Linked DNA regions of Canis lupus familiaris. The protein of the gene in region 1 purifies or fractionates together with the protein of each later gene. This does not show direct contact. Links are inferred from orthologs where the notes say so. Each region holds a gene or a part of one and is shown in the gene's direction. Other genes may lie near its edges.

Evidence for each region.
Region 2: the proteins of FBXW7 (region 1) and RBM28 purify together in Homo sapiens (affinity purification with mass spectrometry, with the first as the bait; 3 studies listed by BioGRID). This does not show direct contact. The link is inferred for Canis lupus familiaris from reciprocal best matches to the Homo sapiens genes FBXW7 and RBM28.
Region 3: the proteins of FBXW7 (region 1) and MED13 purify together in Homo sapiens (affinity purification with mass spectrometry; 5 studies listed by BioGRID and IntAct, with this or other methods). This does not show direct contact. The link is inferred for Canis lupus familiaris from reciprocal best matches to the Homo sapiens genes FBXW7 and MED13.
Region 4: the proteins of FBXW7 (region 1) and ENO1 purify together in Homo sapiens (affinity purification with western blotting; 3 studies listed by BioGRID, with this or other methods). This does not show direct contact. The link is inferred for Canis lupus familiaris from reciprocal best matches to the Homo sapiens genes FBXW7 and ENO1.
Region 5: the proteins of FBXW7 (region 1) and FMR1 purify together in Homo sapiens (affinity purification with mass spectrometry, with the first as the bait; 3 studies listed by BioGRID). This does not show direct contact. The link is inferred for Canis lupus familiaris from reciprocal best matches to the Homo sapiens genes FBXW7 and FMR1.
Region 6: the proteins of FBXW7 (region 1) and SNX8 purify together in Homo sapiens (affinity purification with mass spectrometry; 3 studies listed by BioGRID and IntAct, counting the BioPlex papers as one, with this or other methods). This does not show direct contact. The link is inferred for Canis lupus familiaris from reciprocal best matches to the Homo sapiens genes FBXW7 and SNX8.
Region 7: the proteins of FBXW7 (region 1) and MED12 purify together in Homo sapiens (affinity purification with mass spectrometry; 3 studies listed by BioGRID and IntAct, with this or other methods). This does not show direct contact. The link is inferred for Canis lupus familiaris from reciprocal best matches to the Homo sapiens genes FBXW7 and MED12.

What each region holds. Positions count from the first base shown.
Region 1 is NC_049236.1:50,550,200-50,553,699, reverse strand, and holds part of FBXW7 (F-box/WD repeat-containing protein 7), read left to right. Parts: intron 1-1,034; coding exon 1,035-1,171; intron 1,172-2,333; coding exon 2,334-2,447; intron 2,448-3,500. UniProt on the Homo sapiens protein: Substrate recognition component of a SCF (SKP1-CUL1-F-box protein) E3 ubiquitin-protein ligase complex which mediates the ubiquitination and subsequent proteasomal degradation of target proteins.
Region 2 is NC_049235.1:7,922,464-7,925,963, forward strand, and holds part of RBM28 (RNA-binding protein 28), read left to right. Parts: intron 1-425; coding exon 426-584; intron 585-2,887; coding exon 2,888-3,037; intron 3,038-3,351; coding exon 3,352-3,426; intron 3,427-3,500. UniProt on the Homo sapiens protein: Nucleolar component of the spliceosomal ribonucleoprotein complexes.
Region 3 is NC_049230.1:34,603,131-34,607,273, forward strand, and holds the start of MED13 (mediator of RNA polymerase II transcription subunit 13), read left to right. Parts: upstream 1-1,343; 5' UTR 1,344-1,432; coding exon 1,433-1,498; intron 1,499-3,370; coding exon 3,371-3,605; intron 3,606-4,143. UniProt on the Homo sapiens protein: Component of the Mediator complex, a coactivator involved in the regulated transcription of nearly all RNA polymerase II-dependent genes.
Region 4 is NC_049226.1:62,805,283-62,809,372, reverse strand, and holds the start of ENO1 (alpha-enolase), read left to right. Parts: upstream 1-1,290; 5' UTR 1,291-1,449; intron 1,450-3,657; 5' UTR 3,658-3,666; coding exon 3,667-3,751; intron 3,752-4,090. UniProt on the Homo sapiens protein: Glycolytic enzyme the catalyzes the conversion of 2-phosphoglycerate to phosphoenolpyruvate. In addition to glycolysis, involved in various processes such as growth control, hypoxia tolerance and allergic responses.
Region 5 is NC_049260.1:117,386,550-117,390,049, forward strand, and holds part of FMR1 (synaptic functional regulator FMR1), read left to right. Parts: intron 1-441; coding exon 442-528; intron 529-3,027; coding exon 3,028-3,223; intron 3,224-3,500.
Region 6 is NC_049227.1:14,974,906-14,978,963, forward strand, and holds the start of SNX8 (sorting nexin-8), read left to right. Parts: upstream 1-1,258; 5' UTR 1,259-1,268; coding exon 1,269-1,374; intron 1,375-4,058. UniProt on the Homo sapiens protein: May be involved in several stages of intracellular trafficking. May play a role in intracellular protein transport from early endosomes to the trans-Golgi network.
Region 7 is NC_049260.1:55,693,338-55,696,837, forward strand, and holds part of MED12 (mediator of RNA polymerase II transcription subunit 12), read left to right. Parts: intron 1-20; coding exon 21-141; intron 142-525; coding exon 526-627; intron 628-756; coding exon 757-870; intron 871-1,122; coding exon 1,123-1,298; intron 1,299-1,481; coding exon 1,482-1,661; intron 1,662-2,722; coding exon 2,723-2,794; intron 2,795-3,249; coding exon 3,250-3,383; intron 3,384-3,500. UniProt on the Homo sapiens protein: Component of the Mediator complex, a coactivator involved in the regulated transcription of nearly all RNA polymerase II-dependent genes.

The sequences.
Region 1 (3,500 bases):
GTTGAGTGAGAAGTATAGATCCAAGGTACTTGGTTTCTAATCCTGCCTCTGCCTGTCTATTGCTCAGACTAATTAGTGAAACCCTCTCAAGTGTCTATATTATATAAAGTGGGATTAACAGTCCTTGCCTTACCTTCTCTTATAGAATCATTATTTTAATGACTTTTAAAAAAAATTGTGGTAACATATACTTGAGAATTTATCATTCTAACCATTTTTAAGTGTACAGTTCAGTGGCATTAAGTACAGGCATGTTATTATACAGTCCGTCTCCAGAACTTTTTTTATCTTTCTTGGCTGAAAGTCCATACCCATTTAACAGTAACTCCCTATTCCTCTTCCTGCAGCCCTTGGCAACCACCATTCTATTTCTGTTTGACTACTTTGGGTGCCTCATATAAGTGGAATCATATGGTATTTGTCTTTTTGTGACTGGCTTATTTCATTTTGCATACTGTCTTCAAGGTTTATCCATGTGGTGGCATGTGTCAGAATTCCCTTCCTTTTTCAGTCTGAATAAATATTCCATTGTATATATATACACACCACATTTTGTTTATTCATTCATCCATCGATGGACACTTGGGTTGCTTCCACCTTTCAGCTATTATGAATGATGCAGCTCTGAACATGAGTGTACAGATATCTGTTCAAGTTTCTGCTTTTAATTCTTTTGGATGTGTATCCAGAATTGGAATTGCTGGATCATATGGTAATTCTATATTTAATTTTTTTTGATGAACCACCATACTGCTTTCCATAGCAGCTATACCGTTTTATATTCCTACAAGCATTGCATAAGGGCTCAAATTTCTGCACATCCTCACCAACATTTCACAGAATTATTTAGAGAAAGAAATTAAAAAGTCAATATGAAAACATGCCATAGAAAATGCAGACTTTACATTATTGTTTTATAATAACTATTAGAAATTGGACAATGTCCTGTATTTCAGTGGTTTTGAGCATAGGGGAAAATGAGATATATTATAAAATGTGTAATTTTTACTATTGGTGACTCTTTAAAATTTCAGGTATTGATGAACCATTGCACATCAAGAGAAGAAAAGTAATAAAACCAGGTTTCATACACAGTCCATGGAAAAGTGCATACATCAGACAGCATAGAATTGATACTAACTGGAGGCGAGGAGAACTCAAATCTCCTAAGGTAACTGAACTCTTGCACAGTGTAACTGAAAGCATTAATCAGTGTTGCTACCTAGTATGTTCTTCTTGGCCAGAAGTATAACTTGACCCTATCTCCTGTAGAACGAAAACAGTATATTTTGAAATAACTGAAAATGTGTAACGGACAGTATTCCCCTATTGCTAATTTCTCCAGACAACTGATTGTACTTGAATAAAAGAGGAGTTGAATTGCATGTCATTCTATCTTAGGAAATGAAAATTTCTGAATATCTTGTTGAATTTTGTGTCATAGACATTTTACCTAAGAATTTGCTTGCTCTCTGACTAGGTAGTTAGAACATGATTTTTTGAGGAGTGCCCATGTTTTGTGTTTTGATGTCCCTTTTGAGGGACATTTATTTTTATAAATTTAATGATAATACCGATTTTTTTGTCTTACTGTAAGTATGTAAATAGTGGCAAAAATGCTTGAAATTCTTAGATATATTTATACAACTGGAAGAAAGCAATTAGGGGAGATACTGTTATATTAATAAGTAAACATTATAACAGGCTTTTTTTTTTTTTTTTTTTGAGAGAGTGAGCGAGCACATATGAGTGGGAGTTGGGAAGAAGGGGTAGAGGGAGAGAGAATCTCAAGCACATTCCACACCCAGTGAGAAGCTCTGCTCAAAGCTCAGTCTCATGACCCTGAGATAATGACCTGAGTCAAGAGACACCTAACCGACTGAGCCATCCGGGTACTCCCAGGCTTTTTTTGTTTTACATTGAAGAAGTTGATAATTTTTATTACTCGTCTTTCTAGTTTGTAGGTGTTTTTGTCTTTGTGTGTAAAAATTGCAGAACATAGATGTATATTTTTTTGGTTTGAACAAATAGATAATTATAAAATACATTTGTGTTTGAACCATCTTTATGAGGTCTTGACTCATAAAAGTCTTGATTCACTCAATGTTAATAGTTGATATCTCACATAAAAGTCATAGAATATGGAAAAATAAAATCCTTAATAGTTGATTCAGCATTCAGGAAGGATGGTACTTTGTATTTTATATAATTGTAATTTTAAAAATAGACTTTAGATTGCTGCTCCTATTTGTGGCTTTACTTTTTTTTTTTTACCAGTATTTTAAGAAATATAATTTAATAACATATTTCTAATCTGTACATTTATCTTGTAGGTTCTGAAAGGACATGATGATCATGTGATCACATGCTTACAGTTTTGTGGTAACCGAATAGTTAGTGGTTCTGATGACAACACTTTAAAAGTTTGGTCAGCAGTCACAGGCAAAGTAAGCATACTTCTTTCTATACTTCCCATTTTGTTTATGTTTTTGCATGGATCAATCAGGGAAACCATGGGTTCATTTTTGACTGCAGCATATTTTGTTAACAAGTATCAGAGCTTCTAATTTAGTTTTTTCCTTGGCACAAAGATAATGTTTCTCAGGTTGGGGATGTCATTAATTTCTTCTTGTAAATAATTTGTCTATCTTTGTGATTTAGCTATTATATGATTTTAACAAAATGCTTCATCTTTTTCTTGGCTTACTTTTTTCCCACCTTTATTAACCATCACAGTTATATTGTCCTTTTTAATATTCTTCAAAACTGTGATTGAGGGATACTTACTTTTCTTTGTAAACTGCTCTGTTGATAACTTACCTATAGTTTAGAAGTTAAACAAATCATGTTAATTTAGACTTATTTCAAGCCCTGTGAGATGAAAGTAAAGCAGATACAGTATTTAAATAGGAGTTTGAAGTAAAAAGCAGTCCAAGCAATCAATTTCACTGCATACAGTATTTTGCTTTCATGTTCTATGGTGAATACTTATTTTTATCTGTCCACTGGAGAATGATTTCATAAACTAAGTAACTGATCAGCTAAAAAAACTAGAGGAAAATGTGAGGGGAAAAAACCCTGTCTTTTAAAATGTCTTACAGCATGTTGATTCTTGGCAAGAATCTTCTAAGTATTCCAAGTCAGATGTAAAAATTTTTTAAAGCAGCTTCATATTTCCATAGTGTAATTATTAGTTTTGGATTTATTTCAGAGTTTTAGTATCTGTCTTTACTTGTCTAGAAGTACCTTGCCTGGCTCCTAACTACTGCCTTGGGGCAGATTCAGATGAAATGTGGTATGTAGCCACACCTAACATGGTTGGCATTCTTTCATTGAATCCATTCCTATGGAAGAATCCAAGTTGCAATTTTAGCATTATTTTATCAAAGAGACCAGGCTGGAGCTGTCATATTTTAATAAGTGTTTTACTTTCTATCTACTTGATCCTCAGTAGTGTATGTATGTTTAATATGTAATGCTACTGAATAAAAAGAATAAAT
Region 2 (3,500 bases), on another chromosome or scaffold:
GAGATTGGTATTTTGAGCTACAGTTTCACTTTGTAGAGGGAAACACTGAGGCTTAAAAAATTTCATGTAACTTCTCCAGTTAAGGATGAATTTCCAGTTTAGTCTGAATCTAGAGCCCAAGATCTTACCACCTACCCACCATTTTGCCTCTTTGAACCTTTCTTTCCCTATGCTAGGCCTCATAAGGTGGTAGATAGGTGATTTCCCTTCTTTTGTCCATATGAAGGGTTATTGAAGGGTGGGGGAGTGGGGGTGGTGGCCACAGTTCTTTCCTTTTGGAGAATTATGAACCTGCATTTTTATTTTTTATTTTATTTTATTTTATTTTATTTTATTTTATTTATTTTATTTCACTTTATTTTAATTTTTTATTTTTGCATTTTTAAAGGGTAGATTGTCTTATTAACAATTTGTTGTTCTTTCAGTTTGAGCTGCTAAAGCATCAGAAACTTAAGGACCAGAATATCTTCGTCTCCCAGACCAGGCTGTGCCTGCACAACCTCCCAAAAGGTGTGGATGACAAAGAACTTCGGAAGCTTCTACTGAATGCCACCAGAGGGGAGAAGGGAGTGCGCCTCAAGGAGGTGAGAGCTGGCCCCACCCACTTAGAAGTTTGGTACTTGTCCTGGGTCAGATTAAGCATTTATTCCAGGCTTTGGTGCTAGCCGATTGACAGAATTTCTTCTGGGAGCATTGTCAACAGATGAGGCTGAGATTGGCAGTTTTCATGTTTATTTGTTTGTTTTCTCTTCTTATAACTGCCTTTCACCCACATTGTCCAGATTGTAGCACAATGTGAGGAAATGTCTGCCCTCATGAATTAATTTGAATTCTTGCTGTGTGCTCAGCATCATAGCAGGTGCTATAGTGTTAATTTTCTTGCAGAGAAAATAATCTGTCTATTTTGCTCTTTAGAAGAACATTTTACTTCCATTTGCAATACTCTTACTGTACGAAAAGAGTCCTTGGTGCTGTGTGGTAAGCACAGAGAGTCATGCGGGTCTTCAGCGGTTGTATTAGACAAACGCTGGATTTGCACCAAAACTTGATGAGACTCCATAAGAGTACAGAGCCTTCTCCTCTGCCCCACCCTCTGCAAATCTTCATCCTGGCACTTATGATTACATGGTCCTGTCGTTGTCTGCTAGTCATTTCTCCTGACCAGCTCTCCTGAGCTCTTTGAGAGCAGGTTTCTCATTGCTCCCAGTCCTTGGCAGGGTACCTGGAACATAGTAAATCTCTCAATCTATATTTATTGAATAAGTAACACAGCCAATATTAGAAATCTACTTTGCTCTGATTTATGACTATAAACTGTTTTCCTAATCCTGGAAAATCTCTTCAAAATGTATGGCATTGGTATTTGGGGAATTACATGAGAGAATGTGAACATATCAGCACATATCTGACACCACTCTTAGTAAAACTGTTCAAAGTGTTACTGGCATAGAGGTCAGTTGTGTAATTTCTCATATCAGCATCTACAATATTTAATAAGTGCTTGTACATTTAAAACCTATCATCAGAGAAATTCATGTGTTTTACTGTATTTGCATTGCATTGAATTTTCTCTTTATTTTATTTTTTGATCCCTCTATTGTCATTTTAAGGGGTCTTTCTTTTTTTCTTTCTTTCTTTCAAGAGTGATTCATTTATTTATTATTTATTTATTTATTTATTTGAGAGAGAGAAAGAGAGAGCACGAGCAGGAGGCGCAGAGGGAAAGGGAGAGAGAGAATCTCAAGCAGACTCCACACTGAGCATAGAGCCCTATGCAGCACTCGATCTCACAATCCTGAGATCATGACCTGAGCTGAATGCAAAAAGACACTTAACCAACTGACTGTACCTCCCTGGCACCCCTTGAATTTTCTCTTTAATGTTTTAATACGTGTTGGTATAGTATCTCACCAAAATCGTAAGCTTCTTCAGGACAGGAACCTCATTTTAAGCTTTTCTTAACTTCCCTATAGTACATGGCACAGTTCTTGGGACAATGTAGGTACTGGAAGTATACCAAATGCAGCATCCATGTATCCTTAATACCTAGATTTCTCGATTACATGAGAACTACAGCCTTTTCCAAGATATGCTACTATGGTATGGTATCTTTGATGTCCCAGGACACCTATTACATTCAGCTTACGGATTTAAGGCAAATCATGCCAGAGAAGATCCGAGCTCTGAGCAAAGCTAGCTGAAGCTTCAGCTGTAATCCTTAGGCTATATGTTAGGCAGGCCCTTCCTCATACCTGAATGTCTTTCTTAAAGATTTATTTATTTATTTGAGAAAGAGAGAGAGCAGAGGGAGAAGGAGAGAAGCAGACTCTCTGATGAGCAGGGAGCCTGAATGGGGCTCCATCTCACAACCCTGAGATCATAACCTGAGCTGAAATCAAGAATCAAATGCTTCACCAAGTGAGCCACTCAGGCACCCCTCAGTGCCTTTCTTAGCTAAAGCCATCAGGCCTCTTTTCCTTCTTCAGTAATTTCCTTTCTGAGTGGCTTCTTCAGTGATGAGATCTATGGACAGCGCTTCATCCTCAGTGATAACTTACACAATTTAAAGTACCATATACTTTTGAACTTGTATGTATTGTCCACAATTGACTATTTTAATTGGGGGGTATTTTCATCTACATGCTTATTTATAGGTTTTTTGTTGATCTCTGTAAACTCTTAGAAAGCCAGAAAGTATCTATTTAATTGGCTTTGTGCTTTCAGTAGATGTATGCTAATAAGACCTTGGTAAATGTTAGTCCAGTATAATATGGCTGTTGTGGCAGTGATGTGGATGAGGATTCTGTCCCAGCCACCTGATCTCACAGTGAGTCTGTTCATGCTCTCATTCTGTAATCATGCCTTCTTTCTCTTGTTCTACTCATAGTGTCGGGTGATGCGAGACCTCAAAGGAGTGCATGGGAAAGTTAAGGGTCAGTCCCTGGGCTATGCCTTTGCAGAGTTCCAGGAGCACGAGCATGCCCTGACAGCCCTTCGCCACATCAACAACAATCCAGAGATCTTTGGGCCTCTGAAGGTGAGCCTCATCCTGTGAGGAGACCTATTCCTCTGAGGGCCCTTTGCAGAAAACCATTTCTCTGCTTTGTCCAGTGTCCTCTGACTTATGTGTGGTAGGAAAGAGGAGCCAGTTAGTGAGGGAATAAGCAGTGGTTCAGCGGATAAGATGATCAGAAGGTTTTGAAATCTAAATTGGATAGACTGCTTGCAGAATGGCCCCTTACCTTTGAGTAGAGTAAGTGAGCAGGAGAGAGGGCAGTGGTGGGGGATATCTCAGCTCATTGCTCTCAGAAATTAAGAAATCTAATGAATGACATTCTCTTTCTGACACAGAGACCAATAGTGGAGTTCTCATTGGAGGATCGAAGGAAACTTAAAATAAAGGAACTGAGGATTCAGCGCAGCCTGGTACAGAACTGAAATGTTTTTCTGTTTTTGCTTGTTTTTTTAAGTTATGGTCAAATACACATAACATGAAATTT
Region 3 (4,143 bases), on another chromosome or scaffold:
AATCTTATGAGGTCACGATGACAACAATAATAGGTAACTGTTAGCAATGGGTGTCTGTGCCAGACACTGGGCTACCTGGTTTATTTGTGTTAACTCCATTGTCACAGCATCCCTATGAGATAGGGTTATGTTTCCCCCTTTTAACAAATGAGGAAACTGAGACCCCAAGAACTGACTGGCTCAAGGCTTGAACCCAAGGAAGCGTGGCTCTCACTCCCAGGTTATTCACTACGAGGCTATACTGTTTCTCATACATTTCTTTCTTTCTTGATATCACAACTTTTTAAGTGTCCAAGTTGTATCGCAGATCGTCTGACTCCCAAGCCCGGGGGGTTTGCAAGTGAGAATGCCCGGGAATTTTTGCAACACTTTCTTTTCCGACGAAATCAAACTGTTTTCCACGTAATTCTCAGATCGGTGATGCGAACCCTCTTGCGCTGTAGATTCCCCCCCCCCGCAAGGAGAAAGCTAGGGCCTGGGCCCGGGGTCATCTTACAGTGGCCGAGGCACCCAGCAGATGGCGCTGTCTTAGTAGCCGCCAGCTGGCCGTCCGGTCCCCAGGGCTCACCGCCTCCGCCGAAAGCTTCCCGGCCCTCTCTCACTCCCTTCTCTCTCCTCCTCCCCACGGAGCCCGGGCCCACGTGACCTCAAGGCGGCCAATGGGCGAGCAGAGAGGGCGAGCTGGTCCCTGTGGCCGCCATTAAAGCGAAGGGAAAACCCGTGAATTCGGATTAAAGGGGGAAAAACGCCGCCCGCTGGGCCCACAAAATGGGGGAGACTACGGCGTCCGGGCGGTGAGGCCGCAGTAGAGCAGACGTTAGGCCGGCCTGGCCCAGGGACGACACGAAGACACAGCCAGAGAATGGTCTGAGCCCGCAGACGCCGCCACCACCTCCGCCGCCGAGGAGATTCTGGGCTTAAGGACATCGCCGCCGCCGGGCCGGGGGCCTGGGCTTCTCTCCCGGCTCTTGCCCTTCCTGCCCCTCCACGGGCGCCTCCCCGCCCGGGAGCACCCTCCACGGCTCGGGCTCTGCCCTCTCGGACTCGATTTTAATTATTTATTGTGTAATTTATTGGTTTTTTTTTTTTTTTCTTCTTGTGGAAGGAGCACATATCTCCTCTGTGCCCCCGAGAGGGGCAAGCGTCCGCGGGCTCCGCGGCGGCCGCAGTCCGGCCCGCGGGGCGAGCGCGGCGCGGCCCTCCCGCCGGCCCTGGGCCCCGGGCGGCTAGGTGCCGGCCGGGCGGCGGGGGCTGCTCGCGGCGGCGGGGGGGTGGGCGGGGAGGGCGGGCGGCCCGGCGGCCTCCTCTTCCACCGCTCCCCCAGCCGCCACCCCCCCGCCCTCCCCGGTGTCTGTGTTTCTCTCTCTGGTCGGAGGCGGCGGTAATGGCGGATGGTGGGTTGTGGCGCCGGCGGCGGCTGCTGTGAGGGACGATGAGTTCCTCCTTCGTGCCGAACGGGGCCAGCCTGGAAGATTGTCACTGTAACCTCTTCTGCCTGGTGAGTGAGGGGCCGCGGGCGGGGGCCGCGGCGTGCGGGGCGGTGGGGGAGGGGGCCGCGAGGTGCGCCCTTGGGCCGTGGGGGAGGGGGTCCGGGTCTGATCCAGATGCCCGAGTCCCCGGGCTAGGCCCAGCCGGAGCCGGCGCCGCGGCCGAGCCCCGCGGCCGAGCCCCGCGCCAGCCCCGGGAAACGCGTTCGCTCAGCCCCATCCTGAGCTCTGCTTTAGGACTGCTGGCTTTTTTTTTTTTTTTTCTTTCCTTGTCCCCCGTTTCCGACTCTTCCTCAACCGTAGTCTTGTCTTCAACTTGTGCTCCTTATCTGGCAGGATACTCCCATTTCCCGGTGTGTCTTGCTTATTAACTATTGCTTTTCTCCTTATTGACTATGTATCTCTTCTTAACACTTTACATTATTGCTCATTCTCCCAGTGCCTTTATGCCACACTCTGGTCATTCGTTCCCCCCCCCGCCCCCCCCCCCCCCAAACAGGACACCGGAACTTATGTACTAAAAAAAAAAAATCTCTTTTCGTTTTACGTTTTCTGATGAGTCAAACTAACAGAAGATTAGTTTCTCCCTTCGATGAGTTCAGATCTCTCTGTAAAAACCAGTAGATACCATTTCATGTTTTGTCTTTGAACTTTGAAAACAGTTTGCCATTTTGACAATTTTTAGCCGTCTTGCTTTTAATAGAACATTATGTTTGTGTGAGAGTGAAATGGGACTAGTGGAGGAGGTTCTATGGTTTTGCACTAATTTTTGTTGCTGTTATTTGTTTTACTTGCATTTTTAGATTGGTTTGAGCAGGCTGCTTCTCATTATATTGAAAAGTCTAGGGAAGCTGGATGCAGGACTGACAATTGTATAGGTTGGCCCAGTTCTGGTAACATCCACAGTTAAGACTTTTTGAAAACTACCAACTGTTGCAAATATTTAGCCCTCAGTTGGACAGTAGCTTAGCTTCGTCCACGATTTAAAGTTTCAGTGACTGACTTTTTTCATTTTTTGTGTGCTAGGAGAAATACTAAGAGTATGTGATAGGTAAGTGAACCGAGTGGGCGGAGCACAACTAGTTGGCAAGTGTAAACTGCCAGTCATGTATCAGCAGTTTCATTTTTGGCACCTTATGCTTTGCACCTCTAAGTTAAAGAATTACTAAATTCTCCCTGTCGAATTTTTTCACGGTGCCAAATTGTTTTTTTTTTAATGCCCTTTCCTCTTATAAAATGTTTTCTTGTACAATGCCCGTTAATCAACATCTCTTCGGGTGCAATAAAACATAACATCAGGTTTTACATTTCTGTTTTCTCTGACTCCGTCTATTTTTGGTACTTTTAGGATCAGGTTCTTTGAAAATAGACTAGTACAAATCTGACAGTTCTTTGTGCGCATTTTCTATTTCACTTTGCCTAAAAGGGATATGTGAACACTTTTTTCAACTATAGTTCTCATTTCATTGGAGCCATCAATTTATAAACATGGAATCATAAGTCTTTAAAAATTTTCTGTTACAGTGTGACACCAGGGAACAAACGTGACCAGTTGGAACAGAACTTAGAGGAAATGTTTACTGAGTGTGCAGTATTAAAGTACATGTTTATATTAAACATTTTTAAGTCTTTTATTTTTCTTAGGGACATCTATTTATTGCTACTCAGTGACATGTCAGTGTTAATATTTTCACGGTTTTAGTTCCTTTCCTTAAATTTTGGGTTGTTGAATTATCTAAGAATCATTTTTTTGGTCAGTCTGCTTTAATATCTTCAGTATATATTGAAAAATTGTAATGTCTTAATGAAATAAAGGGCTTTAAGAGTGAGTACTATTGACTTTGAGTGAATGTGCTGTAATACTCATGCTTTCTTTTCTTCAGGCTGACTTGACGGGAATTAAATGGAAAAGATATGTATGGCAAGGCCCAACTTCTGCCCCTATTCTGTTTCCGGTGACAGAGGAAGACCCCATTTTGAGCAGTTTTAGTCGCTGCCTTAAGGCAGATGTACTTGGTGTTTGGCGGCGAGATCAAAGACCTGGAAGAAGAGAATTGTGGATATTTTGGTGGGGTGAAGACCCCAATTTTGCTGATCTTATTCACCATGACTTGTCAGGTGAAGGCAACTTATTTTTAACCAATGATATATAGCAACGTTGTATACTTTTCCTAAAAATCATTTATATTACAAATTAAGATTTTTTTCTTGTGTGTGAAACACTGTTAGATGTGAAGCCAGATAAAAAAGTTAGCTTACTGTTATGTTTCAGTGTGGTTATTTTATTTTACTTAAATTATCCATATTATGGCAGGCTTTAGCCTTGAATAACTTTTTCTTTAACCACCCAGCATCCTTGTGTATTTTCTTGCGAACGGGGCACAAGGAAGGCATGTTACCTAAGAAAAATGGAATGAGGGAGAAGTAATTTGCAGGCATGTGTAATTCACCATTTGAGTCCATTCTGCCACTGCTCTCTTCTGTATCAATATGCAGACATTTGGTAGGAGTTTCTAGAAATGTTGTAACTTTCTTATGTATTTTTTTCAAGGTGTATATTTTGTTGTTAGTTGTGGTTATTACCATATGAAAGCATATGTTAATTTTGTTATTCTTGGACAGTGATTCTTTTAGTGTTCTTTCAAAGACTGTCACT
Region 4 (4,090 bases), on another chromosome or scaffold:
CTAAGCCAGTAGCTCAGGAGATAAAAATGTTAGCAGTGAAGGAAGAAAAGCAGTTTTTGCAGCTGACCAGGAGAAATAATAACTAAATTCAAATACACATTTGAATCTCTCTCTCTCTCCCTCTCTCTCTGCACAACAATGCTGAAAATACGGAGATATAGGACATTATTTTAGCTTCCGGATTTCCAGACCAAGGAGAACGCTGACAAATACAAATCTAACGATTATAGAAAACGAAGTAATCGCCTCAGCCCTTTCTTGGAGAGCAGAATGTGCTGCAGAACTGATTCTAAATGCAGTTTAAAATGCATTTTAGCATTAAATGGAGTTTTCTCCACCAGCAAGGTGAATGAAATCACTGCACCGTTTCTCCTGTTTCTCCCTTGCCAGACGACCGTGGAATACTACCCGCTTTGAACTCTGAGAAATGCCTCGGGTCTGTGGGAAATTCCAGTCCCAAATCACTGTACGCGGTTCACAGGGACGGGGGGAGGCACGGAGGCACACGAAGTCTGCCTTCCAGATGCAACATTAACCCTGAGACGCACGTGGAGAAGTGCCGGGCACGCTGGAAGGGCTCAAAAAGCATCAGCTCCTAACTGCACGGAAGTAAACTTCCTTCGCGCCACCTCGCGCCCAACCCCATGCCCGTGGTCTGGCCCACGCTCAGACACAAAGACTCGCTCGCCCGCCGGCGCGCGGAGGGCGGGGCGGGGGCGAGCCGGGGCGCAGCGCGCAGGCGCAGGCCGCCGCACGTGGGCCCCGCTGCAGACCCGGCCCGGGAGCCGCACCGAGGCGCGCGGCCGCCAACGTCGCCAGGCCGACGGGGTCTCCGGCCCCACGCTGCGGGCGGGGCGGGGCGGGGCGGGGCCGGCCGGGAGGGCGGGCCGCGAAGGTCGTCGCCAAGGTCGTGGGCCGGACGTGAGGCGCCGGAGCGACGCTGCGTGCGTGCGGGACTCGGAGTACGTGCCGGAGCCCCAAACCCTCATGCCGGCCGCGCCACCCCGCCCCTTCCCGGGGCCCTGGCGCCACAGGCCGGCTCGGCCAGGGGTCCCAGCCGGGGGCGAGAATGGAGGGCGCCGGGGCAGGGACTCGCCCGCACCCCCACACAGCCGCGGGGGGGGTCGCGACCCCCCCAGTCCCGCCCCGCTCCACGTCCCCGGGTCTTCGCTGCCCCTCCCGGCCGCGGGGGCCGCTACAGTCCCGCCCCTTCCCGGGAAGCGCAGGCCTGAGTGACGGCGCGCTGGGCCAATGACGAGGCGGCGCCGCGGGGGCGGGCTGGGGGGCGGGAAGTGGGCGGGGCATCGGGGAGCTGGGCAGGAAGTCGGGGCCGGCGGCGCTGAGACGAGCTTCGGGTCCTCGGAGCGTCCGGACCGCGCAGCCTAACGCTCGTCCTTGGTGCCTGCGGCATCCTCTGCTTTTTCCCCGGGCAGCGCTATCGGCGGCCAGGTAGGGAATCCAGGAAGGGCTGCCGAGCCGGCACCCAAGCCTGGGGGCCCTGCGCGTGGGTCCGGGGTGGGGACGTGGGAGGGGCGGGTCGGCACGTGCGGGCCGGGCTTCGCCGGAGGGGCAGGAGCGGAGTCGGCTGAGATGAGGGGTTCACAGGGCTAATGGGAGCTCGCGAGTGGAACGCGGGCCGTGGGGGACGGCGGGCCGGACGCTGCAGGGGCTTGGGGAGGTGCGGGCCTAAGCCCGGGGGCTCGTTAGAGCCAGGCCTTTCCCAAAGTGGAGGGAGGGGCAGGGACGGGATGCCCAGAAGCCGCGAGCCCCTCCCCCACCAGCAGCCCCTGCGCCCCGCTGGGGGCCCCGGCCTGCAGGCGGGAGGCGGGAGGCTGGTGACGGAGGGGGCAGCCTCTAATGAATGGAACTTCAGAGGGTGCTTGTTCTTCAGCGGACTGCGGCCGAACCGTTGCGTAATTGGGAAAGCGGTCCAGGCGACCTCGCCCAGGTCATGCAGGAGCTGCTCCGGCTCCCCGGCCGGGCTCTCGGCAGTCGGCCACCGATCTGACGTTAGAAGGACATATTTTAAGAAAATTCCCTGTCTGCTGTGTGAATTGGGGCCGGGGACACCCCTCGGCCCTGACTGCCCAGTCCACACGTGCTGCCCCTGGTCCGGGGTTCAGCCCAGGCAGATGAGCCGTGAACACTCCATCCATTCTTGCTGGCCTTGCTTACTGAACCGTAATGACATCGGGAGTAGTTTTCTAACCTTTTTAAGGATAAGTTGAACTTTTATTTTCACAGCTTGAAATAAGTCGCTGTGTATTAATATTACTAAATTAAACGAAAGGACATCTTACAACAGCAAGAGGATGTATTGTAATAAAGATGTGCTTAAAGCGCATCTAAATGCACAATGTAAGTCTATGGTGGCCTAGGGATGGGGGGGGTGGGGATTGACTGCAAAGGGCCTAAAGGGACTTTTTTAGGTGGTGGCCATCAGACACAGGTATATGATTTGCCAAAACTCAAAGTTACTAAAATCTTATAATTAAAAAATACATTTAAGCAAATTTGCCTTTTTGTAGGATAGTGAATAAAAACTAGATACCTTTTTTTTACCTTTTTATTGGCTAACGAATGAAACTTCATTGTTAAATAGTCCCCATGCACCCGAAGTGATTTCACTGTCTAATTTTGAAACTTATTAAAAAAAAAAAAGATGCCATTTGCTGCCTCAGAACATTCCAGACAAGATACTGGAGAGGAGCCCAGCTAGATAATGGCTCTGAACACTAACCCAATTCCACTGGGCTGCCTTCAGTCAGTCCTACAAGGTCCTTTCTTTCTTGGAAGCCCCTGGGGCTGGGAGGTGAAAAGGCTTTCTTTGAGAACTAAGGTGATTGCTCTTTGTAACTGCAAATCTGTTTTTTTTTTTTTTTTTTTTTTTTTTATAAGATGCTTTTAAGGAAAGCCTCCTCCCTTGGAGTATCCTAACATTTGAGGATAGAATCTAGTTTGATTTCAATTATGACATTTCATAATTAATTTTTTTGAATGGGTAAAATGCCTGTTGAAAGTAATACTAATTAGATGTTATTTTTGGTGTGTCCTGTCTTGCTAAAGATCCAAGTACTGTGAAATGTGAAAGGCCCAGAAGTTGGCAGTAATAGCAAAGACCACATTGTACAGACCAAGGACACTCCTGGCCTCAAAATTTCTTTAAGTATCCCAGTATCCACCGACTGAACATCTTACGGCTACCTCAAGTTTAACTTGGTGAATTATGTCCCCAACTATGAATTCATTATTTCGCTACAAGCCAGATTTCTCTCCTTGTATCACCTTGCATTTTTTTTGTCCTGGATGGGTTAGCTTCTGACCTTCGAGTCTCCTTGGTCCATTCCCATGCTACCCTCGGTGGGAGCTATTGACAGTAACCTGCTTCAGACTGTCTCAGCTTCAACCATCCTGTGTGCAGACAACACATTTCCAGGCTTTGCTTTGCTTAAAGGACCAGCACCAGACTACTGGGGTTTGAGGCCCTACAGAGCTGGGCACAGCAGGCTTTCCCCACTCTTGGCAGCCACCTTGCATCCCGTATCTGTCCAGCGCAAATTCTTTCTAGTCCAGGAATCCTCAGAAGCGATTCTTTGAATGAATGACCCAAGGCTGCATTATGGTTTATGGGAAGTATGAACTGTGTTTCCCCCACAGAAAGTCACCATGTCTATTCTCAAGATCCACGCCAGGGAGATCTTTGACTCTCGCGGGAACCCCACTGTTGAGGTTGACCTCTACACCTCCAAAGGTAGGTGCACCTTTGTTTCAGGACTTCCTCTCCCACACTCCCATCTTTTTAAAATTTAAACAACAGAGTCTTGGGCAAGAAAAGGTCTGTTGTAAAAGCCTTTCCTTCTGATGTGCACGTGTGCTAGGCTGTGGTTCCTGAATGGGAGGAGGTGGGGGAGGGTTACAAGGCATGGGGTCCTTGTCTTGCTGCTTCTTGGTATCTAAAACAACTTGCTCCCAGGTCAGTGAGAGTTGGGTAAAGTAAGATCATACCTCGTCCCTAAAAGGGCCCGTCACTGGTTTGCTTCACAGCTTGCTCTGCCTGAGCAAGCATATCTGGTGTGGTTGGATGGAGCTT
Region 5 (3,500 bases), on another chromosome or scaffold:
GTTAGCAAAATGGATTTAGTTTTTATTTCTGTGCCCTAGTATTTAACTTTGAATTTCTCTTTAAAGAATTTGATCTAGATTCAGCCTGTAGTGTATGAATTAAAGTACTTTAAAGTATTTGTTTTGTTTATGCATCTCATGTCAGAGCTTGTATAATTTTGAATTACATAATTTGTGATTTTGCCAACATTTAATAGTAGCATTTAAAACATAACAATATGGTACACTCATGGGGTTGCTGTATTGATCTGTCGTTATTCACAGTAGATGTGTAAAATCTGCCAACTACTTTTGTTTCCATGTATTGAGTTATATTTTCAACAAACCTTTGTATACCTTCTGTTTGTCAGGCCCTGTGTTAGGGATTTAGTCACTATTTGCATTTTTGTCAAATAATCCATTATTGATGTTATAGGATCGTTGTTGCCATTTATTTTTCAGGGTATGGTACCATTTGTTTTTGTGGGAACAAAGGACAGCATTGCTAATGCCACTGTTCTTCTGGATTATCACCTGAACTATTTAAAGGTGAGAACAAGAAGAACTTTAACTTCTAATCCTTTTGTACTAAAATATAAAAACTCCACAGTCAGGCAGTCTTTCAGCAGTGAAGGTTCATTCTAGCCTGTACGTTACAATGAATGACCTGTAAAAGGTAATAGAGAAAATACTTTGTTTTGCTTATTATATTCCTTCTGAAAACACAAGTCCATTTTCTATCATTACAAATTAAAGGACCAATATCCCAGTTCTTAGTAAATTCCCCTATTTCCCATTATTCTATTGTTAAACCCTTACACTCAATTTAGGCACTCCTGTACATAGCCTTTTCATTCAGTTGATCCTTTCTAGCCTTTGTGAGTTTTTTCCAGGCCAAATTTTGTGTCTGTTAACACTTGCCTTTGTTTGTCCCTTTTATGTCATATATCAAGGAAATCTCAGTGTTTCATGAAGTCGTCTGTTTAAATGTTTACCCTTTGTATTTTTCTCTATACTCTGTTATACAAAATATAAACAACTTATGTCTTTTAGATGCTCGTTTTAGTTAGTGTTTGTACAGTTAGGCCTTCTCTAGATTGCAAACTGGAAATCAGGAACTAGGAAGCTACAAGATATAGTGGAAGGAGCACTGGATTGGCAGTCCAGTGACTTGCTTCTAGTCTGTCTTCTATCATGGACTAGTTTATGTGACTTTAGGCAAGTCACTTCTGCCTATATTGGATGCTTTTCTAAGATTTCCTGTGGCCAAAATGTTCTATAATTCAATGAAATGAGATCTTACCCATGTCACTTTTATAATTTCTTCTTTTTATATCTGTATGCATCAAAATTACAAGTGATTGGTACTAAATAGTATTTAAAAATAATCCAGCTTTCTATTTTATGTATGATCTTATCTTAATAAGAATATTTTTGCTGATTTCTTGAAAGAAATAAACAATTTTGATTTGGATGCAAATAAGGGGAACAAAAGTGCAATAGTTAGGCTTCACTCATCTTATGGTGGTCACGTAATAATTGAAAATGGGAAGGTTTCATCCAGCAAGGTTTGCATGGGTAGGATACCCCATTGGTTTGCTTTTTATTTTTGTTTTAAGGTGTGTTTTATTTGTAATCTGTTGTATGTGGTTTTTTTTATATTCTTAGCTTAAATAATTATGATGACCTGGAGAGTTAGGGTTGCATTATAATCAATCCCTTGTTCTTTTGACTAATGTTCTTTTTAAGATCCCTTTATTTATTCTTCACAATTGAATCTTTTTTGGTTATCAGCAGTTGTCCTGTTGCTATTCTTTCCATCACTAGATCTTCCCTTGATTGGGCCTGGCATCTCTCACCAAAAGGTGACTGCTTTGCCCCATTGGGATAACCTGGACTACCATTCTGTTTTGCAAGATACACCCATTCCATGAGCTATAACTATACTCTAGGAGTAAGCTACTCACTCAGTCTCTCCTTTGCTCAAGTCCTTTGTAAAACAGAAAATTTGGTTCAGAGCACAGATTAAACCTATCTGCCCTTTCTTTGCCAGAAGCATCCACAACCAGGATTTTAAGAACTTAGCTTAACAGGGGCTTATCCAGTGACTGTCCATGTAGGCAGTCCCTATGATGGCCACTGCTTTCCTCAGACACCCAGTACTATTAAGAGTTATGGATCCAGTTCCCTATAGCCAGTAAAGGAGATGTTTTTTGGGTAGATTGCAAGGACAAGGGTTAGAATTGAAGCTTCATCTGAATTTGACAGAACCCAGCATATCAGAAGCACTGTGTGTAAGGGTCTGTCAGTGGAGCCCAGGTGTATATTTTGATCAACATTAATACTGTTTTGTTGTACTTGTTCTAGCACAGTTGTAGTCTTTAAGAGCTTTCAAGGCTTGATGTTAAGTCTAACTTTTTTGGTCAGCTCTTAAATAGTCATATCCCCCTCCCCTACCATATAAGGAATAGGAGCATTTTCAGTTTGCTGAAAATAATTTTTCCTTAACTGTGTGATCATATCCAAAGACCTACCATAATATATGTTCCTTGAAAGCGGAAGATGGCCCAAACGCAGTGCTTCATAAATTAAGATAAGAACTGGCAAATATATTTCAGTTAAGATTATTTACAGTGTGTGATTTTTAAGGTTAGCTGGTTAAACCTTAAATGTCATTTACCTGTATTTTAGAGTTGCTTTATTCAACATCCTATCATCAAGAAGTCCCCAAACTAGCATATCTGTGCCTTAACAGATTCTATTGGATAATAGTACCAAATCAACTTTAAATTCTATACAGTAGAATTCTAATGCTGAGTATTTTTGTTATATCTCTAATTATGGACATCGATAATCTGTTATCTATAGTAATTTTTCTTTTTAAGGAGACCATTCAATTTCCTGATAATTCTGTGTAACAGTGTTTACTATAAATTTAGAACTGAAATTGAAATATTTCCAGTATATTTTTATCTGATGAAAAGGAGAAAGGTATTATTAAGTAAAATGTCAAATTATTTTTACTGTTATCTTGTATATTTTAAATAGGAAGTAGACCAGTTGCGTTTGGAGAGATTACAAATTGATGAGCAGTTGCGACAGATTGGAGCTAGTTCTAGACCACCACCAAATCGTACAGATAAGGAAAAAGGCTATGTGACTGATGATGGTCAAGGAATGGGTCGAGGTAGTAGACCTTACAGAAATAGGGGGCACGGCAGACGCGGTCCTGGATATACTTCAGGTACAAACTAAGCATTTTACTCAGTAACTTTATCTGTTCCTAGACTTAATAGCTGCTAATCTCTAATATTCATTAGAACCCCATTATAACGGTTTCTCACTACATGGTTTCCGATTCACAGTGGGTCAAATTGTGTTGCAAGAGACATATAGAGTTAAAACATGATAATAACACACAGAGTTTACAGGGCAGGTGTGAGTTCTGTCCACGTTCTGACTGGGGATAAATCTGCTTAAGCCCTTGTGTGTTGATGACTTTCTTAAGGCCTTTCCTGATT
Region 6 (4,058 bases), on another chromosome or scaffold:
GTTAAAGAGTGTGTGTGTGTTTGGGGGGTGGAGACATAGAAAGTGCTGAGCACATTAGTGGATGCAAGAGCAGCTGAAAGGAAGGCCAGGATGCGGAAGGAAGCAGCATCAGATGGGGGCTGTGTATCACAGGATCCTGCAGTGTCCCCCTGCGACTTGTGGAAGTCCATGTGTGGAAGGGACCAGCACTTGCAAGATTATAGTGGGGGAGAGCGTCTCTGCCTGTGCCAGCTCACAGGGACTTCCTGGGTGCTGTAACCTGGGCAGGATCCAGTGGCTGTAGCAAGAAGGGACAATGTGGGGAAGGACCTGGACATGGGGCCTGGACTACTGATGGAGTTGCCAGCTCCCAGGGGGTGTCAGTAGGCCACAACATCAGGAGATCCTCCCTGATGGAGCCCTTCCTGTGCTCCAGATTCCTCTTCTGCCATGTTGCACCCACACTTTAGCTCCAGGAGGACGGCAGTAGCGTTTCCAGCTGCTTGATGCCTCAGAAAGTTTGAGCCAGCTGGAGGCCATTGCCTCCTCCTCCTGCATAACTCCTCACCCGCAGCATCAGTTCAGGCTCCGCCCCCCAGGGGGTCCCTTCCTCGTTCCCGGAGCTCCCACAGCCTCATTTGGGAACAGCCAGGACACTTGCTCTAGTGTGCCCCCCTCCAAATCTGGAGGCACCTAATGCACCCCGGACCGAGGGCGGGGGCAGTGGGAGTGCGGGAGTGAACGGGTAAGGGGCGGGTAAGGCGGGTGAGCAGAGGAGGTGGACGGATGAATGAGTGAGGCAGCCAGGGAGCGGGTGAATGAGTGTGTGTGGGTGAGTGAGCAAGGCGTGGACGGGTGAGTGAGTGAGCGAGCCAGGGAGAGGGTGAGTGAGCGGGGGTGGGAGCGTGGATGAATGATGAATGAGAGAGGGGGGATGGGTGCGTCGGTGAGGGGCGGGGCGGGGCGGGGCGGGGGCGCTGAGGACCGAGGGGTGAGTGGAGGACGCGCCGGGACGCGGGGGCCGCCCACGCGGAAGTGCAGAGTAACCGTAGGAGGGGTGAGTGTGACGACCAGAGGCCGAGCTAGCGGATGAACGAGGGGGCGAGCGGCGCGGGCCAGGCCTCCCGGTGGCCGCGTGGCCGGGGCGGGGCGGGCCAGGATGGGCGTGGCCAGGCCAGACAAAAGGGGCGTGGCCGCCCGGAGTGGGCGTGGTGTGGGCGTGGCCGGGCGGGGTGGGCGTGGCGTGGCGGGCCGGCGGGCGCGGAGGAAGTCACGTGGCTAGCGCTCACATGACTGGCGGCGTGATGGACCGGCTGTCCGCGGAGGCAGGCGCGGCTCCAGTCGTGGCGGCAGCTGAGGCGGAGGCGGACGAGGAGGCGGACCCACCGGCGGCAGGTACGGCTGGCGGTCCCCCTGCTCCCGCGCGCAGCCCCCGGCCCGCCCTCGCCCCCGTGGCCCCGCGGCCCCCGGCTCCCCGGCTCCCCGGCTGCCCGCTGGCGCCCCGCGCGCCCCCGCCACGCTGAGAAGGGCGCCGCGGGCCCGGGGACCCGAGCACCTGCGCACCTGCGCACCTGCTCTGGGTCGCCCGGCCGCGCCTCCCTGTTCGGGGGCCCCGCTCCCGCTCCCCGCCGTGCCGCCCCGGACTCGCGAGCTCTCCGCCGCGGACCGGACAGACTTGGCTCCGAGTGCGTGTGCCCTCGTGAATGGGCGTCAGCACGGAAAAGCGTGCGCGGGGCTTGGCTTTTGTAGGATGGTCCCTCCTGGAAAGTTCCCTCCTTTAGCCCCCTCCGGGTGGAGAACAGATGTAGGGGCGGCGTTGCTGGCCGTTACTGCGGCCTTTGGGCGCGGGTCGGAGGCGGGGAGGGGGCACAGGGGCGAGGGACCCCGCTGGGGGTGTGGCCAGGTGTCCCCAGGGGGCTGTGCTACGGTGGCTTCTGGAGGGCACGAGAGTGTTTATTCATTGGGGAGAACAGGGAAGGGAGTGGCGGGGAAGCTGCTGGGAGGTGGGCATTGCACTGGACTCCTTGACATAAAGGCTCCTGGGTGTGTCTGCATCTAGAAAGAAATCCCCCACTCCCAGAAATGGTTTTGAGTAATTTTTCATTGCGTTCGTAGCTGTGTAAGGGGAAGCATGTGATGGCACTTGCTGTTCTGGAGGTCACACATTTGAGCCCGGCGTGGGCAATGGGCCTCACCGATTCCGGGGCCCCAGCCTGGACCCCTTGGTTGGTCCCGTTTGGAAACGGGAGGCTGTCATTGGCTTTTTGGCTCGGGTTGTAAAGCAGTTCATAGTTGACTGCATATGGTGGTGGCTCAGGGGTCTCTGCACCGTCTGTACCTTTGGGTACCGCAGTCGATTTTTTTTTTTTTTAAGATTTTATTTATTTATTCATGAGAGACACACAGGGGCAGAGACACAGCAGAGGGAGAAGCAGGCTCCATGCAGGGAGCCAGATGTGGGTCTTGATCCCAGGACCACGACCTGAGCAGATGCTCAACCAGTGACCCACCCAGGCGTCCCCCACATGGCAGGACTTACCCACTGGATTCCACTTATGGACAGCCGCCCTCCCAGCATACCCTCCCTCTGACTTTGCCTGGAATAACCGTGGTAGTTGGCCTTAGTTGGCCTTCTTGGGGGCCGTGGGGATTTTATTAGGCCTGCTCACTGTGAGGACACGGTAGCACCTCTGGTTACAGAGTGCTGTTCTATAGCCAGGGGAGTACTCAAAGTGGGGTTTATGGACTGTGGGAGGCAACCTGTCATTGCATCCCACTTAAAACCTTTTGACCATCCGATGACACAGGTAAAGTGGTAGAACAAATCTTTTTTACACTGGGATAAATAAAACCCAGAGGTAAGTGACTTGCCCAAACTGGGCAAGTATTAAGGAGGCATGTCCAGGTGGGAGTCGTGGTTGGGTGGGCTAGAGGCAGAAAACCTAAGGCTTTGAGACCGAATCTTGTCCGTTGACCGTAAATGCATATCTCACTTTTAGTCAAGGCTGATTTTGGTTCGTTGATGGGTTTGTGCTTATGAATATAGAATGGTTTCTCTTTTCGGTGTTTTGTCTACACAGGCAGAGCCTACTCGAGGTATTACTTGTGGAGACTGTGAAGTCTGGGTCTTTGTACTGCCATTGGGATTGTCAGAGAAAATCGCGTTCCCTGGTTTCCAACATTAAGGGTCATGTTCTAATGCTTTGAAGCTTAATCTGTGAATGGTAACTCCCTAAAATTTTTTTTAAACATTTTATTTATTTATTCATAGAGACACACAGAGAGAGAGAGGCAGAGACACAGGCAGAGGGAGAAGCAGGCTCCATGCAGGGAGCCCGATGTGGGACTCGATCCCGGGTCTCCGGGATCACGCCGTGGGCTGGAGGTGGCGCCAAACCCGCTGAGCCACCAGGGCTGTCCACTCCCTAAAAATTTAATTTTCAATTAAGCTATACATGGACAAACACGTTTTCTTTAAAGAAATGTAGAACATTATTAACTAAGTGAATCTCACACCGATTCCCACCACCGTCTCTTTGCCAGAGGTGATCTTTGTTATGGGTTGGGGATGGATTCTCTCCACCCTGTTTTTATATTTTAAAAGGATACATACTTAGAAACCCCATATCTTCTCGAGCACATGTGTTTATGTTTCCCTAGGGTAGTGTATTAGTTTTCTGCAGTTGCTGTAACAAATTACTACAGATATGGTGGCTTAAACAACACTTAGCATCTCACAGATCTGGATGGTGGTCAGTAGTCCAAAATAGGTTTCCTTGGGCTACTATCAGGTGTGGGCAGGGCTGCCTTCCTTCTGGAGGCCCTCGGGGAAAATCCGTTTTCCGGCCTTTCTGGCTTGCAGATGCCTCCCACATTCCTCGGTGATGGTCCCCTTTCTCCAGCAACCATGAGCCATGTCTTTTTCGTGCTGTCATTTCTCTGGTTCCCCATTTCTTGTTTACTACTTCTACTTTTGAGGACCCCGGGACCACCAACCACCTGGATAATCCACAACCTGTGGCCTATTTCAAGGTCAGCTGGTTGGCCACCTGAATTCCATTTGCTACCTTTGTTCCCCT
Region 7 (3,500 bases), on another chromosome or scaffold:
TTGTCTGCTTTGTCCTCCAGGTCAGTGACCTGTCTTTTCATGACTCTCTGGCTACTTTTGTTGCCATCCTCATCGCTCGGCAATGTCTGCTCCTTGAGGATCTGATTCGCTGTGCTGCCATCCCTTCACTCCTTAATGCCGGTGAACCACCAGTCCGTAACCCTTAGAATTTCTGGATCCCAAGTTTGACTACACACTCCATGGCCACACCCTCACTGTTGAGTGTGGGGCTCCCCGCTATCACCAGAGGCCAGTTGTGTGATGGGCCTCGGGCCCAGAGCGGCCTCTTTCTAACGCTGTGTTGACTGCCCTGATCCTTCCCTGTTGTGACCCTCCTAAGGGACCCCCCCCCATCACACTGCAAGACAGCTGACTGCTCTGTCTCTCCTCCCCCATTATCTTGTTATTTCTCCTTTTGCCTGACTTCGCCTTCCCTTCTAGCCCCTTGCCACCCACAAACCCACGGACAGTCCACTTTTGCCCTGTCCAATTTGCTTTGTTTTCCTTTTTTTTTTTTTTTTGCAGCCTGCAGTGAGCAGGACTCTGAGCCAGGGGCCCGGCTGACCTGCCGCATCCTCCTCCACCTTTTCAAGACGCCTCAACTCAATCCTTGCCAGTCAGATGGAAGTAAGTGACCCTGATCTGGGCCTAGCCAGCAGTAGAAAGTGTGGCTGCTCCCCCCCCCCCCCGCCCCACCCACTGCCTGCACCCCACTGGATCTACTTTTGCTTCTCATGACTTGGGCTCCCTCTCCAGACAAGCCTACAGTAGGAATCCGTTCCTCCTGTGACCGCCACCTGCTGGCTGCCTCCCAGAACCGCATCGTGGATGGAGCTGTGTTTGCTGTTCTCAAGGCAGTATTTGTACTTGGTATGGGGGTAGGAAGGGAGTGGTGCCAGAAGTGTGTGTGGGGTGGAGTGCCAGCTAAACTACAAAGGAAAGTCTTTCTCCCTCCTGAAGGTGGTCTCTCTGACCTTTGGGGAGGAGAGGAGGGAGGGAAGTATATTTCTGTCCCATAGGGCAGGATTTGGGGGAGTTGCTGCTTCTGTGGGTCTGGGGTGGGTCTCTACACCGTGTTCAGATCTCACTCTGCCCTCCCTATCTCCCGCCCGTGAACCACAGGGGATGCGGAACTGAAGGGTTCAGGCTTCACTGTGACAGGAGGAACAGAAGAACTTCCAGAGGAGGAGGGAGGAGGTGGCAGTGGCGGTCGGAGGCAGGGTGGCCGCAACATCTCTGTGGAGACAGCCAGTCTGGATGTCTATGCCAAGTACGTGCTGCGCAGCATCTGCCAACAGGTCAGTCTCACCTTCCCCCCATGCATCCCAAATGCCTTTATATAATAATGTCCTGTTTCCAGCCCTGATCATGCCACCTTCCTACTATACATCACGTCTCTCATCAACCCCCAGCCCATCTCCCCCTTATTCCTTACCCCCACTCACTGTTTGCCCCAGTGCCCTGGTTATCTACTTCCTCAGGAATGGGTAGGAGAGCGTTGCCTTAAATCATTGTGTGAGGATAGCAATGACCTGCAAGACCCAGTGTTGAGTAGTGCCCAGGCCCAGCGCCTCATGCAGCTCATCTGCTACCCACATCGGTTGCTGGACAACGAGGACGGGGAAAACCCCCAGCGGCAGCGCATTAAGCGTATTCTGCAGGTAGGCCAAGGTGGTGAGGGTCTTAGAGGAAGCAGTGGGGCCCAGGCCCTGGGTGAAACAATGGGGACCCTGAGGGAAAAAGAGGGGGTTAGTCAAGTAGGAAGACTGAACAAGGATGTGGGCAAAAGGTGGTCAGAGCAACAGCCCCCATGTGGGTTTTGAAGTCAGGCCAGTGCAGTCCAGACCCTAGAGCCAACTGCTGGATGAGGGCATGGCTATCTGGGACTGTAGCTTATCAGTGAGAGGCGGCACAACATCTGCTAAGCCTTGTTTAAGGCCTTGCTTGTTTGGTGTTTGCTCACAGCTCAGTAACGAACAGCAGTAGTACTTCATAGCTCTTGATTACCAAGTGTCAGCTTCATGCCGAGTATTGTGCTCAGCACTCTATGTCCATCTTCTCATTTAATCTGTCCCAACCCCCAGAAAGTAGGTAGGAGTGGCCAAGTTTGACCAAGGAGGAAACCAAGGCTTGAAGAGTTTATTAAGTAATTAGCCCAAGGTCACACAGCTAGTTTAGAGTCAGGGTGCGAGCCCAGGTGGGCCTGTGCCCCTTCCACTTTGCCATGCTGCTTCAGGCATTCAGGTAACTGAAGGGTGGAGAAATAAAGCTGTTAAAAGAGCTACAGGAATGAGTCTCTTCAGCCCAGAGGAGATAATGTTAAAGAGAGATTAACTCACATTAGCCCTTGGGTCTGTAAAGGACTTTGAACAGCTGGTTTAAAACAGCCTGCAACTTTAACATCAAAGATTTAGGGTAAGTGCTAAGCAGAACTTACCCATGTGGAGGAATGTGAAGCTCTGGAATAGGAGACAGGGGAAAGATGGGAAATCTTTCCAGAACCGTTTTTAAAATAGGCTAGATTTTTCAACGATTTTGGATCATTTTGGTGTAGTCTTTCCTAAAGATGGGGACGTGGAAGTTCCTTTCAGACCTGTAGGCATATGTGTTTCAAGGTTGTGAGAGATCAGGAGGTGGCTTAGTCAGGGTGGGGGGTAAGTGGCTGGAAATGGAGAGGGGGGACAGGATGATGATGAGCTTAGGGGTGGCGTCTCCATCACAGAACTTGGACCAGTGGACCATGCGCCAGTCTTCCTTGGAGCTGCAGCTCATGATCAAGCAGACCCCTAACAATGTGAGTTGGCACCTGGCCCTCTCTGTCCCATGCTCACTTCCAGCTCCATGTGTCAGGGGTGTGGGCTACCATAGAAGAACCTGTGTCCTATGGAACTTCAGGTTCTTGAGCTGAGAAAGAGAGGGTGGGAAGATGGCAAACGCATGGGGCTGATGAGTAGGGGGAAATGGGTCAGGAATGTTGGGGCTCGGTGGTGTGGGGGAAGATTGGCGATGGTGGTGGTGGGAGGCAGTTTCTCTGGTCACAACTGTAAGGAGGCATGTGAGGAGAAGACAGTGGGGGAATTGGAGAAATAGGGAGGCTCTGGAGGGCAGGCTCTCAGCAGAGTTGTGTCTTTCCCTCTCATTACCTTCCAGATGCCTTTCTCCGCCCTCATCTCCCATCTTTCCTGCCGTCTGTTTTCCTTCCTATCACAGTTACCTATTGAGCACCTCTGTGCCTTTCATCCTCCCCAGGAGATGAACTCCCTCTTAGAGAACATCGCCAAGGCCACAATCGAGGTTTTCCAACAGTCAGCAGAGACAGGGTCATCTTCTGGAAGCACCACAAGCAACATGCCCAGCAGCAGCAAAACAAAGCCAGTGCTCAGGTTGGGTAGAAATGCATTCAGACCCCTCCCCTTATGACTTGTTCTCTCATAGTGTAAATGATTTCAGTCTCACAGAGATACTAGGCCTGTCCATTGGGCAGGGAGAGCATGGCTTGT